Linked DNA regions of Lepisosteus oculatus. The protein of the gene in region 1 interacts with the protein of each later gene in a biochemical or structural test. Links are inferred from orthologs where the notes say so. Each region holds a gene or a part of one and is shown in the gene's direction. Other genes may lie near its edges.

Region 1 (8,126 bases):
TTAACACCTACACTTCTTAAAAGTATTGGAACATTAGGAGGGTCATAGCTGAGAGTGTGTTTTTGAATATCTATCTTTTCTGAGCTCTTAAAGTAGGCTGACTGCAGATCCAGCGGAAAAGCTGAGAATATAAAGGACCTGTGTTATAGTGGTACAGGAATTGCTGGTTCAGGCCCGATCTCTGTGCTTAGTCAGACCTGGCTGGGATTTGCCAGGCTGTAGCCCGATTGCCCAAGCACCTTGGGGACTTGTGGGGTTCGGTTTTTTTTTTACTTTGTGCACAGCAGAGACCCCTGCTGTTTGCCTATCCCCAGGTGCGCCTGCACTGTTATGTGAGTGAAGCGCTGTATTCTTGCATCTTGGCATTGCGGCCTGACATGACAGAGCACATCCCTGCAGCAGCCTGCAAGTTGTCTTCATCTCCCCAGTGCCCCTACAAGGGATTGACCAAGAGCGGGTCATTCCGAATCGATAGAGAGCGGTGCTGATAATAAAATTATTATTCTTCTTATTATACTGAACACAGGAGCACAGTGCGAGCGCTTTGGGCAGGGTGAATGACAAAAGCCGCAGACACAAGACCAAACCTAAGACAGTCTGAACACAGAGAGGTGAGCTGGGGAAGATCCTGTGCGCCACACTACGCCCTCAGCTCCATTGCAGCCTCTACCGTGCACCTACAAGTGTACCGGGTGGCCTTTGCAAAGGCTGTTGGCTGGTTGGTTTAGCTCGTTTGCATGCCAAGATGGCAACCTAGACAGATCCAGCCGCGCGGCATCGACAGCAGCAGGGGTATCGGCGCACGTCTGCTGGGAAGGGAAGTGGGGAGAGCCGTGGACGTGGGTGAGCACACTCTGTGTCTTTAAGAGCGCTGTGTCGCTCGGCGCTGTGGAATGAGGAAGGCGGAGGTGCCAGCTGGATTCTTGGAATTCTGCTGAGCAGAAATGCGGGCAGGCAGATATATATATATATTTTTTTACTGTGGCATCACGGGAATAAGATCCGGCACTGCTTGGAACGCTTCAGCTCACCGCAGATGGAATGAGCACAGAGTCGGCTGAAGGTGTTTACTCTCCTGCCTGCTGCAGAGTCTCTCGAGCGTGGATAAGGGCCGCTCCCTGGCTGGCTGCCCCCTTGCTGTTCGGTTCCCTGCAGCCCTGCACTGATCTCATTAGATCTTGCGCAAGATTCAGCAGTTGCCCGCTTCGCCGGGGTCTTATCTCGCTCTGGATGTCGGAGGCGACCAGCTGTCGGGCTGTAAGGAAACCAGAAAATTAAACGGAAAGTCTGGCTGGCGATCTAATTCAACACGTAAAGCACAGCTTCTAGGCTCCAGTCATAGAATTGTTACTATTATACTGAACACGGGAGCACAGTGCGAGCGCTTCAACAACAACAACATCACTTTATTAGCCCTATACAATTTCTTGCATTAGGAATTAATCTTTTCGCAGACCCCAGCTTTTCTCCATGGGGACAGACACACAGACAGGGAGAAGCTTGGGGTCAGAGCGCAGGGTCAGCCATTGTACAGCACCTCTGGAGCAGCTGGGGTGAAGGGCCTTGCTCAGGAGCCCAACGGAGTAGGATTCCTCTGCCGGCCGCGGGATATGAACCGGCAACCTTGTAGGCACAGATCCTTAGCCACAGAGACGAGACCAATCCTAAGATAGTCTGAATACGGAGAGCTGCGCTGTGTAGTGTGACGCACAGGAACCTCCCCAAGTTCTACGGCTTCTAAGAACCACAGCCATGGCAGCCATGTTGGTTTTGCTTATTAAGATCTAAAAAGAGCTCAGGAATCTGTGTCCCAGAGTTCCTCTGCCCTGGCGTGCTGCTCGCACCTTTCCCCCCGACTGCTGCCCAGGCTTCAGCCCTGGGCTCCGTTCAGACGCCCCCTTGAGGAGTGATGGCTGACTGATGTGGGAGGAATGACTCTCTCCCCGTTGTCGCTGCTCTCCCGTGGGGGCGGGGCACCGACGGGACGTGAGCTCTTCTGGGACTGATGACGGCGGACAAGCTTGCAAGGCAACAAACGAGTGAGCTCTGAGAGGCCAGAGGAGGGCGTGAGTGCAGGCATTTCGCACAGGGGCCAGGTCGCCAGGAAGAAGGGAGTATTACGCCGGTGCAGAGAAGGTGACAGGGTGGTGGGGCCACTCCAGATTCACCTCGTGCAAGATGTAACGCAGGATAGCTCCGTTGCTTGGTAATTTGCATGCTTGCCGACTGCACACTGGCTGGAGACACTTGCGCCAGGACCTTCCCATCTCCCCTTGCCATGAAAGCCACCATTAAACTTTCAGTCTCTGTTTGGCAAACAGGTGATGCGGAAGATCTTGGAGAGGCTCACAGCTCGGCAGTGGGTGGCATCGCTGTAACAATAGGGTGTTGTGGCACAGCTGTCTTCACTGGCGGGGGGGCTGGGGGTAAATTGGTGGCAGTGTCTAATCTTTATTGCCCCCCTAACACCTCTGATTGGAGGGGGGGGCAATAAAAATACTTTCGCACCCTAAAGATCCAGGCAGGATGTCCTCCGCACTGCCCTCTCATAAACCTCCCTGAATTCCCAGCCCCAGTCTGGTCTGAACCTAACCCTCATTATCTGCTTTTCATTATTCCTGCTCACCTCCCAAAGACCCAGGGTCCTGCCCCACCGCCACTCACTGTGTGTGCGCAGGCAGGCTTGCTTTCGCTCAACCCCACGGAGGGCAGTCTGGCACCCATCACAGGTCTGGCATTCCTGGGCAGCTGCTGGCTCCTGCCAGGCCCACAGGCCACATGCCCTTAACCTCTGGCTCTCCGGCAAGCTCCTTTTCAGTGTCTTCGCTGTGGCACTCAATTATGTGGCTCTCGAAGTAATTACTGGCTCACCAATATGGCAGCGCTGAGGTCTTTTAATGACAGAGCATTTGAAGGCTGTACCAGCAAAACCAGGCTCCCAGTACAGAATGTCAGTGTCGCCTGGGGTCCTTCCAGGGACTCATTCTTCAGCGGCTGACGTAAGTCCTCAAGTACAACATCCTGGTGCTGGAAACGCAGGCCTCCCCCATTTCTTTTGACTCTCCTCCAGACCTGGAATAATTAGTCATGTTGTAGTTAATTTCCCAAGTTCATACCGCATGCAGAGGTTACTCACAATCGCAGACAGCCTTCAAACGGGGAGGCTGTCATTCCTGACCTTTTGGTGCTGTTGCAGCAGGCCCTTATGCACATAACGGGGCATTAATGACAGATATCAGGCAGTTAACTGGCAAGCAGGAAAGGCAGATGGGTCCTGTGCCAGCGCATTTGTGCACAGTCAGCGTAGCCCTGCAGCGGAGGGATCTGAAGGGAGCCGTTCCTGCATGGGCTGGCCATGTCCACTGCAGTCTTCCTTCGCCCGGTCCCGCTGGTCCTGGCGTCCCTTCTCTGGAATCTCCTCTGAAATGGACTCCAATGGCACAGAGCACAGAGCTCAGCCTCCCCTCCCCCCCGCCTGCTGTCCTTATCAGTAAAAGTAAACAGTTTAAGCCCTGGTGTTAAATTAGTGTCACAGTTTGCTGCCAAGGCCCCAGCAGGCCTTCCCCTGCAGAGTCCTGGGGAATGCCCTCCAGTCGGAGCTCCGAACTGCCCGGCAGGCTGGGCAGGCTCCGGGCCCGAGGCTCGGCTCCGCTGGGAGCTTTCCTGGGATTTCCCCCGTGCTGCCCGGGCCTCTGCACAGAACATGGCTGCTTCCACTCCAGATGGCCTCGTTCCCTCTGACTGACCGACTGCTGTCCGATCAGTCCACTTTGCCCTGGGAAAAAACACTGATTACAGCCTCAAAATGTACCATAAATAATACACTAGTGCATCCCCATCCGTAGAGCTCTCTGTGAGGGACACAGGCCATTTGTTCTGACCTGGTCTGAATTTGCAGGGCACTAAACAAGTCCATTGCATTGCTCGTGACTGTCGTATTCACTGTCACGGCACTGTGCGGCATTATCTATCTAGATCCTATTAGTCCTCACGGAATTGCAGTCTAATGATATTCTTGAGTATTAGATCTGCCAGGCTGTGTGTGTGACCATGCTTTCAACAAGTGACTTCTTTTCTGTCATGAACAAAGACTCTCAATCTGAACCATTTATTTATTTATTTATTTATTTATTTATTTATTTATTTTTAAGTGGCGTTTTGCAAATACAGAAAACTTGCAAACTTTTTCAAAGTCTGGGGGAAAGGCCGTCGCTCTTAAGCTCATCGTGCGCGGCCTCCGCTGTGTGGAAGCGCGATGCGAGATGAAAGATTTAACTGTGCGCGTTTTGGTCAACGTCGGCCTGGGTGCTGTGCGGTTCTCAGACCAGCTCCCTCCCACCTGCGAGTCGGTGGGACTTTTCGGGGACTCCGCGTGCCAATGCGCACGAGCGGCCAGGTGGGGGAACCTCGAGTGACGTCAGCGACAGGAACGCGGAGGAGCGCGCCGGAGTCGGCGTGTGGGTCACCCGGAGGTGAGGCGGCCGGCTTCCGCGGGTTCAGGAAAAGTTCACCCGCATAACATTAGGCAAATTAGTCCGGGGGGAGACCGGGAAACCTGCGAGAAAAAGGGGACGATGGGAAAAGGGGGTCTTCCGCGTCACGGCGTGGGAGCTGGGCTCGTGGGTGGAAGAGGAGGCGTCACTTAGTGCTGTACGAGAGAGGCATTCCTGTTGGGGTGGAGGGGTGTGTGTGCGTGTTTATTATGTCCCTAAAACTGCGGCGGCGCGGTTTTAGTTTGCTTTTTAAAATTGTTTCAGACGACCACCACCACCTCCTCCTCCTCCTCCTCCTCCCCTATTTTGATTTCGAACCGACAAGTGTTAATCCTCTTCCCCTCCCTCAACCACACACACACACCCCTCCACCATCACCACCGAGCCGCTGGGTTTGCGGCTTGTACCGAGAGAGCGGGCGGTTTGGCCCGGGTCCTGGGGCTGTGTGACTGCGGGAGTCCGGAAAGGGTTAAGTCGGGGAGGCGCTCTGGAGGGAGAGAGAGAGCGGAGAGAGAGGGAGGGAGAGAGGAGGTAGGTGGGGTCCGGTCGCAGTTGCTCGCTGCCGTCACAATCTGCGGCGCAGGGCAAGCGGGTACCCTGCCTGGGAACAGACTTGGCGTGAGAGAGGAGAGAGATCCCCGCACGACAGCAATAAACACGGAGTCGGGGGGGGGGAGACGGATCGAGTCACGCGAAACGGGGGGGATTAAAAACGCGAAATCTGCGACGCCAGCGAAACACAGCTTCCGCGCCTCTCGCCTCGACACATCCGAGGCGCTCGGCTGGATTTAAAATTATTTTATTTTGTTTTGTTTGGGGAGGGGAGGGTCTCCCCCCCCCCCCGATGTGGTGGAAGGAAATTGAAAAAAGAGTGCCCCCCTCCTCCACTCCATCGCCCTCCCTCCCTCCGTGCCTGCCTGCCCCCAGTCGGTGTCGACCGCAAGCGTCGCAGGGCAAGAGGAGACTGTAGCCACCGAGGCAGGAGGACGAGGGTGGTCCGGTCCGGTCCGTTTGCGCTGTGGAGGTGAGGACGCGCTCCTCCTTGCCCGTGAAGATGTCGCGCCTGTACGGGGAGAGCGGCTGACGACGCCAGCCTGTTCCGTGCGGGATTTGTACCGGCGTAGCTGGGCTGTTTTTTTGGCGTGTGGGTGTCGCGGTATTTTTTTTTTAAAGAAAAAACTTCAGTTTTTTTTTTTGCCTCCCTTCTTGCCTACCTTCTCCAGTTTTGTGGAGTTTTTTTTTTTAAATAAACAGTTTTGTGGCGGGGTGCGGGAGAAAAGTTGGCACCGCGGGACCCGTCTGGAGCAGGGAGCGCAGCCCGGGGCCCGCTCGGGAGCACACGGAGGGGGAGACGCGCCAGCATGCGAATCGCCGCCTCTCCAGCCAGCGCTTCCACGCACAAAAACCGCAAATGAAGTTGTTCTCGGACCATGCGGGGAGACCCACTTAGTTAGCTGCTGCACCCAGACCCCACACTGAAATCACTGCCCGTTACTTCATCCACAACCACAGTGATTGGTCTTCTTGCTGGGACGGAACTTTGCTGTTTGTTTTTTTTTCTCTCTAAAAGATCAAATCATCAGTACAGCCAAACTTTTTTTTTTCCCCCAGCAAGGCTGGGTGGGGTGGGGGGGGAGATCTCCCACAGTCACTACCTCTAAGATGTTGTTTGACAGCTAATCAGAAGAAGTTGTGCGAGTAGTTCTTGTTGCTCCTGCCACCGAGAGAAGATTTTGTTGTTGTTGTTGGGATATTACTTTCAATCGGGTTTTTTTTTATTTTTATTTTTTTTGGAGTCGCCAACACGCATCATGTATGAGAGTGTGGACGTGGTGGGGTTAAATCCCAGTCCGAACCCGTTCCTAATGGTGGATTACTACAACCAGAACCGAGGATGTTTAATCCAGGAAAAGACGATCGTGGCCGGATCGCACCACCCTTACGGCAGCTCCATCAGAAACCAGCACTGGACCGGCTCCAATCACTGTAGGTGGACATTTCTGCTCCTGGGTTACAATGTTTCACTTCGGGGGACATGTGTCTGAGCGATCGCGTGTTACGTGTAGCCCAACTCGCGTTCTGTGGGCTTCCGCCTACGGTGCAATTTCACTGGTCTGGATCGATCTGTATCCCGGCCGCTTCGTGTAATTACGGCAGGCTCGTCAACGAGTTTAAATTAGCGCGGCCCCGATTGTGTGTGAGAGAGAGAGCGAGCGCAGGTGCTGTGATTTAAGGCGCTGCTTGAGTGACCTTCTCGGTGTTTGTGTTTCGCTTGCAATGTCTCATGTTGTCCTTTCCGAACGAGCTCCTTACTAGCGTGTTGGCTTCTGTTAAACCACCTCGGCGTCTGCCGGCTTTCCTCGCCGTGTGAACGTGGAGACCCTTGCGTGCGCGTTTGCTACACCTCCTCTGTGTGTTTTCACCTAAACATGTTTTATTTGGTCAATAGCTTATTGCATCTATACCCTCTCGATGGTTGTGCTTCAAGCACAAACCGTTTGGACGGCTGTAGTAATCACCATTACAGAGGGCTTTACCGCTGTAGCCCCCGGCCAGCCCGGCGCTCTACATACGCGACTACGGGTTTTGTCTTTTTTTTCCCGGCCTACAGTACATGTAGCGAGTTGTAACAGTAACTGTGCAGTAACATTTCCAAAAGAGCGAACAGAAACGTGCTTGCAATGCTGTGTTTCAATGCATAGGACACTGAGCTCATTTGCGGAGGCACCTTTGTTAAATTGCATTGTAACGGAGGTTTTTGTGGATAATACAGGACGCGCTGCTTTTACATTTCCACAGATTGACTGTTTTTGTGGGTACTTGCTGTGCTTAAGAAGGCGAAAATCTTTAGAATTGCGCGGCACAGTAAATGTATATTTGAATTTAAGTGCAGGGCTTTTTAAAACCGGTTGAATGCCAAGTAAGAACAATTATGGGCCGAGCAGCTGTTGGTAAGCGAGTTTTTTTTTGGAAACAGATTTTCTGTTTCTAGTCCCTTTCCGAAACTTGTTTCTTCCGGACGCAGGAAAGAATTTTTCCTCCCTAAATCGTTAGTCATCGCAGTTTGTGCCAAACTAGCGTATTGAACGACGCGCCTTTCGTGGTTTAACGAAGGTAGACAGGGCGACGGGGATGTCATCATTTCTAAACCGATCGTTCACGATTTTTTTTTGTAAAAAAAAGCGTTATATCTAAACGCTGCTGTCGAATACGAAGTTTGTACTCGACAGAAGACAAGAAGAAAAGGTCATCATCGTTGTCGTTTTTGCACTCAAAGACCCATAATCGGTCCGTGTCGTCAAACCGTCGTGTCCAGAGTCAGGAGGGACATTCGTTGGATCGTGTTTCGGGGTCGCCCGCTATTTTATCTGATATTTTCATTAGACTTTTCTAATAACTGAATTCTGGTGATCATTTGTGCATATAAGCCCTATAAGAAGCGGAAGAAGGGACAGTAGAAATCGCCGGACTAAGGCTGCGCGACGTGCTGCACCTCCGGGGAAGGCGACATCGGGAGCCTGTTGTCGAGGCTGGACAGCTCGGCCTGCGAGTCCAGAATCACTCGCGGCCGGACTTCTCTCTTCGGGGAAGAAGCTAACTTTTTGTTTTTAATTTGTGCTTCTTTTATTCAGT
Region 2 (7,174 bases), on another chromosome or scaffold:
GGAGTGGCGCCAGACTCAGAACTGCAAGACGAACAGATCAGGATTGAAAACACATTGACAGCACCGCCGATGCCGACAGGAACAAACGTTTCACATTTTAATAGAAAATTATTCACGCTGCAATGTCCAAAGACAAAAAACAGCTCAGAGCTTTCTGCTTCTCAGTCACATGTGCTACCAGTAAATTAATACATTTCCCTTAAGAAACTTGGATATTATCCGGACCTGCACTAGTCAGAACTTACTGCATCCTTCCTCTCGAAACTAAGAGTGCATCTACGGGGGAGGGTTTTTCCCAGGTGTGGGACGTCCTGGCCACGGTGCTCGGGGCTGCAGTCAGCACGTGCAGCAGAGCCCGAGACTCTGCAGCCCCATCCGCCCTCCTGGCCTTCCCGTCCATTCCTGTGCTTCAGTGTTTTAACGGAGTGTAGGAACGTAGCCAGGAAATGCAACACGGATGTTATTTTTCACAGCCATTCCTGCAGCTCTGCAGGCCGGTACCACTGCGCTACGTCTAACACCACTCTGTCCTGTTACAACATCTGAACAGCTGGTGCAGAGAAACCGAAGCTTTGAACTAAGCTGATGAGGCAAACTCCCCGAAAGGCACGTACGTTCTTGAGGAACTCCTCAGCCACGATGCGGGCGCGGGCGTTGACGGACAGCTTCATCTCACTGATCTCCTTGTCGATCTCCTCCATGAAGTGGATGACGAAGTCCACCAGCTTGTGCTTGTACATCTGCTCCGTGTGGAAGTTTGTGATCAGGAAGCTGATGTCGTAGCCCTGGAGTCAGGAGAAAGAGAGCGACCGTGACAGACAGGATGAGTGTATGTACACCAGTGAACTAGACGCTGGTATAGTGAAAGAACTAGTGAAGTTTGCAGATGACCCCAAATTGGAGGATTGAGAAAATGCTTTTTTAAATTTGATTTGCTGCTTCTACGGACTTACACATGATTCAAGACTGGACAAACGCCTGCCAGATGAGATCCCGAGATTAATAAGTTATTGCCGAAGAGGCGAGATCTCGTCTTCCCGAATCCCCCTCTTACCTCCACGGGTTTCCTCCGCAGGATGAAGAAGTTCTCCGCTCTCATCATCATGAAGCGCATGAACTTGTGGCACAGGATCTTCTCAATCTCATCGGCCTGTGGGGACACATCACAGCGCCGTCAGCCCAGCCCTGTTCAACCCCAGTCCAGTCAGAGTCTCCTCCTCGGCCCTCCACCTGTCGCACTGCTAACGCCACCTGCAGCCCTTCAAGCCACTCCTCTGTCAGAGCGGTCCTGCGCTGCACCAGAGAGAGCAGTCAGGCTGCCTCTAAAATCACAGAGCAGCCTTTTTCATTCTCTCGACCAATCACAAGCCAGGTAACTAAGGCATCTACCAATCACAGAGAAGGTCATTCTGAATTCCTGACCAATCACCTGCACAATTACTTGACGGTTCCAGGAAGAGATCACTCTGCCCACTGCAAAGTAATTATATTTTTCAGGTCCCATCATCTGGACACTCTTAAACAAGTTAAGATCAGTGCTGTATATTTCCAGTATGACACTGACACAGAGAAACATGTACTCATGACTTCTGCTTTCTGCCTCATCAGTGGTGTGAATATCAGCCTCTAAAACACCCGACTAAGACCGGCTGGTTTTCCAGTCTCTCGACCTGGGACACGAGCCCCGCCCACGGCCTCAGCCAACCACAGCACGGCACACGCACGGCCACGCCCCCTCAGCGACCTGTTTGACAGCGATGCTGACGCGCACGGAGTTGATGGAGCCCTCGATCAGAACCTTCTCCTTCTCATTGCGGCTGATGATGACCGGCTGCAGCAGCAACTCCTTACTGCTCCTGGAGAGAGAGAGATGAGAGAACACGTTAGGACCCCAGGAGGACTCAGAGCAGAGCTGACCATGCGCCTGCCTGTTTGGCAGAGAGGCTGAGGGCCAATCCCAGCAGAGGAAGGGCTGAGAGAGGGAGGGGGGCAGGTCACCCCGAGAATAGGAGAGCCTCGAACCCGCGTCCGGCTCAGACTCACCGGACTTCAACCTCTGGCTTGTTGTGTCTCTCCACCACCTGGGAGGAGAAGTTCTCCAGACAGAGGGCGGCCTGCAGCGTGGCGCGCACGGCGTTCAGGTAGGGCCGCAGAGTCGCTGTCTGTGGAGGAAAAGAGCAGTTCTTTACATTATATAGCGCCTTTCTGGACCCTCCACTCAGAGCTCTTTACAGGTAAGGGGGATCCCCTCCACCCCCACCAGTGTGCAGCCCCACCTGGATGATGCACCAGTCCTCTCACACACACCAGCTCTCAGTGGGGAGGAGAGCAGAGGGATGAAGCCAGTTCAGAGATGGGGGGTTAGTAGGAGGCCATGACTGGTAAAGGCCAGGGGGGAAATTTGACCAGGACACTGGGGTGACACCCCTACTCTTTTCGAGAGACGCCCTGGGATTTTTAATGACCACAGAGAGTCAGGACCTCGGTTTTACGTCTCATCTGAAGGACAGCGCCTTTTTACAGTATAGTGTCCCCGTCACTACACTGGGGCATTAGGACCCACACAGACCGCAGGGTGAGAGCGCCCCCTACTGGCCCCACTGACACCTCTTGCAGCAGCAGCCTCAGCTCTCCCAGGAGACTCCCATCCAGGTACTGACCAGGCCCCAGTGCGACAGAGCCAGAGCGCACCGGCCGGAGAATTTCAGAGCCTCGGCCCCGCGGGTCTGGGTCTGGGTCTGGGCGGACAGAGCCCTGCGGGCCCGCATTCCTCCCGCCCCCCCCACCCTCAGCCCCGCAAGCCCGGGCGTGCGGTGGGGATCTCCATGGCAACAGTGAATTCCAGCAGCGCGAGCCTCCCGTGCCCGGACGCGCAGAGACGCCTGTGCACGAGCGAAGCGGCACGCAAACAGGGGGGTACCCGGGGTGCCGAGAGTCGGTCACTTCCAACACGTCATTTTGACAGGAAGCCGCACACACCACACGAAAATAAAACCCCTGCAACCGCCTTGAAATGACGCTTCACACGCCACTTTCTGCCCTGCACTGCCTGGTGCCATCCAGCACCTGAGCCGGCTCGGCGCCCTCCCCACCCGCCGGGGGCACCGGGCGGAGCGGCTGCAGGCTGTCGGCGGCCGGGCTCCGAAATTTGGGTGGGGATCCCAGGCACACCTACCGCGGCCGTCGGCAGCCCCAGCCAGGAGCCTCTCGCAGAGACTCCCAGGGCACCGCACCCCATCTAAGACCCCGCGCACAAACCATAGCAGCCCACTAACCTATTTACCAGTAGTTAATTGTCTTAATTATTGATGTTAATATCCAGAAACGCTACCCTGTCTTACCATTTCTGCTTCCTCTGGGGAACAAGACGGAAGTGCTCGGAGCGCGTGCGCACGGCGGCTCTTCCGCGAGCGCTGCTCGGCTGGCTGGGATGTACCATTCCCACATCTTAAGGGTGTGTGCAAGTAACTGAATAGTGCCATTTCTTTGTGCGCTACTTTTCATTTTCCACTATCTTGTACAGCCAAATACCTTTATAAAGACTAGGCGTTTGAAACAGACCATGCAAGAGGCAATCTCTCTTAGTGCTCTGATATAGCACAGCATCTTTCCGGAACGGTACGACTGGTATTACGTTCACCGTCTCTAGCTCGAGTTATTATGATTAGAAATTCAGAAACAAGAACTACTAAATCTGCTGATGTTATTTTAAATAATCTATGTTGTCTTTCTTTTCCACCTATTTCCACAAAAAATCTCTTCCTCCCACCCCCACCTTCAATTTGGTTTAGGCAGAGATTTTCTTCCATAAAAGGCAACGTGGGACTTCAGACTGGCTGGCTGAATGTGGGGGGGGAGTTTTCGACTAGCTGGAGTCTGCTGTGATCTGCAGCAAAACAAACAGAAGAAAACGAGTGCAACTTCAAATAAAATATTTTTTATTTAAATCTTTTATTTCATTTTTATCTTCAATTATCATCTCGTCGCCACATTAAACGTTGTAATTCTAAGAATAAACCCCTCTCTGGTGGTGTCGTCTTCAGGGAGAAACCATCTTGCAAGAGACAGTTTGTTCAATCAGGCTCAGGAGACGGGGTTGGCGCGGTGGTCAAGGGAGTCTAGTACATGTTTCATACGCGCAATAACTCAACCCGAAAATTCTCTAAGTTGTTGTAGACACTGTTAAACATATACTTCACGTCAGATTGGATTTCGGAAAGAAATGTTTAGTCGTGAAGGTGAACAGAGTGTGTCGCGCACCCCTCTGTAGCCCTGAATGGTAGAGTCAGCAATGGAAGCTGCGCTGCAGGACTAAAGCTGTCCGTTCTGCTTTAGCGTCTTATCAATGGTAAGTCTGCAACCAGAGAGCAAAACGCGTACGTGTAATGTTCTGGGAGGAATAAACAGAAGCTGCCTAATCTGGCATTCGCCTAGATGAACAGAGCCGCCGTGTGAAAATGCTCCTTGAGGTGGCGGAGGCTGGAGGGCGCAGTCAGCGTTGTGCGGTGTGCGCGTACGTATCAATGGACAGGGTCCCTTCGCCTGAGGATGTTGTTCTCTCTCGTTGCGTGTAAGACCTGCCACTGCACGGCACTGCGAGGGAGAGTAAGAGCCGCCCGCTGCACTTACGGCGGGGTTTGAAAGCAGTGGGGCTTCTTAAACGTTTATGAAAACAAGACCGTGCCGAGGTTACGCTCATGCACGGAGCAGTCTGGTTGCGGGGCGGGCAGATCCGTCTCTCCTACCGGAGATAAAAGCCTTTGGAAGTCAAGTTTCACGAGGCGCACGACGATTCTGGCTGCCTGACATTGCTTGTGTCTGTCTCGTTTAAACATCTGTCGTTGTAACTCGTGTTTTGTTGTCACTGTTACTGTGCTGTATTGCTGCTGGTGTCGCTCGTTGGTGACGTCATGTTTTGTGTGTAAGACGAGCTTTGTCCGGACGCTGTTGTGCCGAGCGGTTTAGACAGGCGAGGTGTGCAAGACTGGCCACCTCCGCTGTCACCTACTAGCAACAGCGCACGGGGAGGGGAGGGAATGCAAGGGAAACGCACTGATCCAGTGGTCAGTGGCATAGCTGGGGTTTGAACCAGGAACCAGGAATAAGGCCTGCGCCTGAATCCTTTGTCCCTGTTCAGGGTGGGATGTCTTTTAAAAGGCAGGTGTCTGTGTCATATGCACTTGAAATCTGACATCTCTGCCTGTCATGCTCCCGAGCTGGAGCAGCCTGTAGCACACTGGCAGCCTGATCTGTGTGCTCAGCTCTGCCCAGCCTGCAGCACACTGGCAGCCTGATCTGTGTGCTCAGCTCTGCCCAGCCTGCAGCACACTGGCAGCCTGATCTGTGTGCTCAGCTCTGCCCAGCCTGAACACACTGACAACCTGATCTGTGTGCTCAGTTCTGCCCAGCCTGAACACACTGACAACCTGATCTGTGTGCTCAGCTCTGCCCAGCCTGCAGCACACTGGCAGCCTGATCTGTGTGCTCAGCTCTGCCCAGCCTGAACACACTGACAACCTGATCTGTGTGCTCAGTTCTGCCCAGCCTGAACACACTGACAACCTGATCTGTGTGCTCAGCTCTGCCCAGCCTGCAGCACACTGACAGCCTGATCTGTGTGCTCAGCTCTGCCCAGCCTGAACACACTGACAGCCTGATCTGTGTGCTCAGCTCTGCCCAGCCTGCAGCACACTGACAGCCTGATCTGTGTGCTCAGCTCTGCCCAGCCTGAACACACTGACAACCTGATCTGTGTGCTCAGCTCTGCCCAGCCTGAACACACTGACAGCCTGATCTGTGTGCTCAGCTCTGCCCAGCCTGCAGCACACTGACAACCTGATCTGTGTGCTCAGCTCTGCCCAGCCTGAACACACTGACAGCCTGATCTGTGTGCTCAGCTCTGCCCAGCCTGCAGCACACTGACAGCCTGACCTGTGTCCACAGCTCTGCCCGGCGTGAGGATGAGTGAGCTGAAGGACTGCCCTCCGCTGCAGTACTATGACTTCAAGCCGGTGGAGCATGCCAAGGTGTGTCCGCGCTACACGGCGGTGCTGGGCCGCTCCGATGACGATGGGATCGGGATCGAGGAGCTGGACACCCTGCAGCTGGAGCTGGAGACGCTGCTGTCCTCCGCCAGCCGCAGGCTGAGGGCCCTGGAGGAGCAGAGACAGGTGAGGGGGTGCGGGGGGAGGGGACAGGTAGGGGGGTGTGGGGGGGAGGGGACAGGTGAGGGGGTGAAGGAGGGGGAGATGAGGGGTGTGGACACTAACCAGGAAAGAGAGATCACAGCATAGTTGCTTGTACACCCATCGCTCCCCAAAACTGTGCTGACTGTCGCAGACACCTGCGCGTGTGTCTGTCTGCCTCAGATCCTGACGGACTGGCAGGACAAGAAGGGGGACAAGCGCTTCTTGAAGATGGGGAAGGAGGCAGACCTGTCGGCCGCACCCCGACACTCCAAGCCCAAGAAACAGAAGCTGGAGGGAAAAGGGGGCCACGGGCCTGGACCTGGCCCGGGTCGGCCCAAATCGAAAAACCTGCAACCCAAGATCCAGGAGTACGAGTTCAGCGAGGACCCCCAGGACACCCCGCGCATCCCCAAGAACGATGCCCCCAACAGGTTCTGGGCGTCTGTGGAGCCGTACTGCGCCGACATCACCAGCGAGGAGATCAGGGTGCTGGAGGACCTGCTGAAGGCCCCCGAGGACGAGCCCGAGTACTACAAGGTACTGAGTTCTGTTTACAAACCACCACGAAGCTCCGCTGTCCTGCCCCCGATCTGTACAGCCTGTCCCTCTCTGTGTGCTGTCCTGTGCCTTTTCTGTACAGTCTGTCCCTCTCTCCCTGCTGTCCTGCAGCTGTGCTGTTCAGTCAGTCCCTCTCTACTCTACCTGCTGTCCTGTGCCTTTGCTGTACAGTCTGTCTCTCTCTCCCCGCAGTCCTGTGCTCGATCTGTACAGCCTGTCCCTCACCTGTGTCCCTCTCTGCCTGCTGTCCTGTGTCTGTGTAGGTCCCTGCTCTGGGGAAGCACTATTCCCAGCGCTGGGCCCAGGAGGACCTGCTGGAGGAGCAGCGCGACGGGGCCAGAGCCAACGACAAGAAGAAGGGCATCATGGGACCGCTGTCCGAACTGGACGCCAAGGGTGAGTGTGGCGAGGGCCAGGCGCGGGGGTCC

The links.
Region 2: the proteins of raraa (region 1) and tada3l form a complex in vitro, tested with the Homo sapiens proteins (2 studies listed by BioGRID). The link is inferred for Lepisosteus oculatus from reciprocal best matches to the Homo sapiens genes RARA and TADA3.

What each region holds. Positions count from the first base shown.
Region 1 is NC_090723.1:6,530,729-6,538,854, forward strand, and holds the start of raraa (retinoic acid receptor alpha-A), read left to right. Parts: upstream 1-5,012; 5' UTR 5,013-6,304; coding exon 6,305-6,479; intron 6,480-8,126. UniProt on the Homo sapiens protein: Receptor for retinoic acid. Retinoic acid receptors bind as heterodimers to their target response elements in response to their ligands, all-trans or 9-cis retinoic acid, and regulate gene expression in various biological processes.
Region 2 is NC_090699.1:66,539,458-66,546,631, reverse strand, and holds the start of tada3l (transcriptional adapter 3), read left to right. Parts: upstream 1-4,067; 5' UTR 4,068-4,348; intron 4,349-4,354; exon of another isoform or gene 4,355-4,513; intron 4,514-5,943; 5' UTR 5,944-5,960; coding exon 5,961-6,170; intron 6,171-6,368; coding exon 6,369-6,725; intron 6,726-7,009; coding exon 7,010-7,142; intron 7,143-7,174. Other genes in the region: arpc4l (actin related protein 2/3 complex, subunit 4, like), read right to left, coding at 16-21, 615-785, 1,055-1,150, 1,745-1,856, 2,044-2,162, 3,342-3,482. UniProt on the Homo sapiens protein: Functions as a component of the PCAF complex. The PCAF complex is capable of efficiently acetylating histones in a nucleosomal context. The PCAF complex could be considered as the human version of the yeast SAGA complex.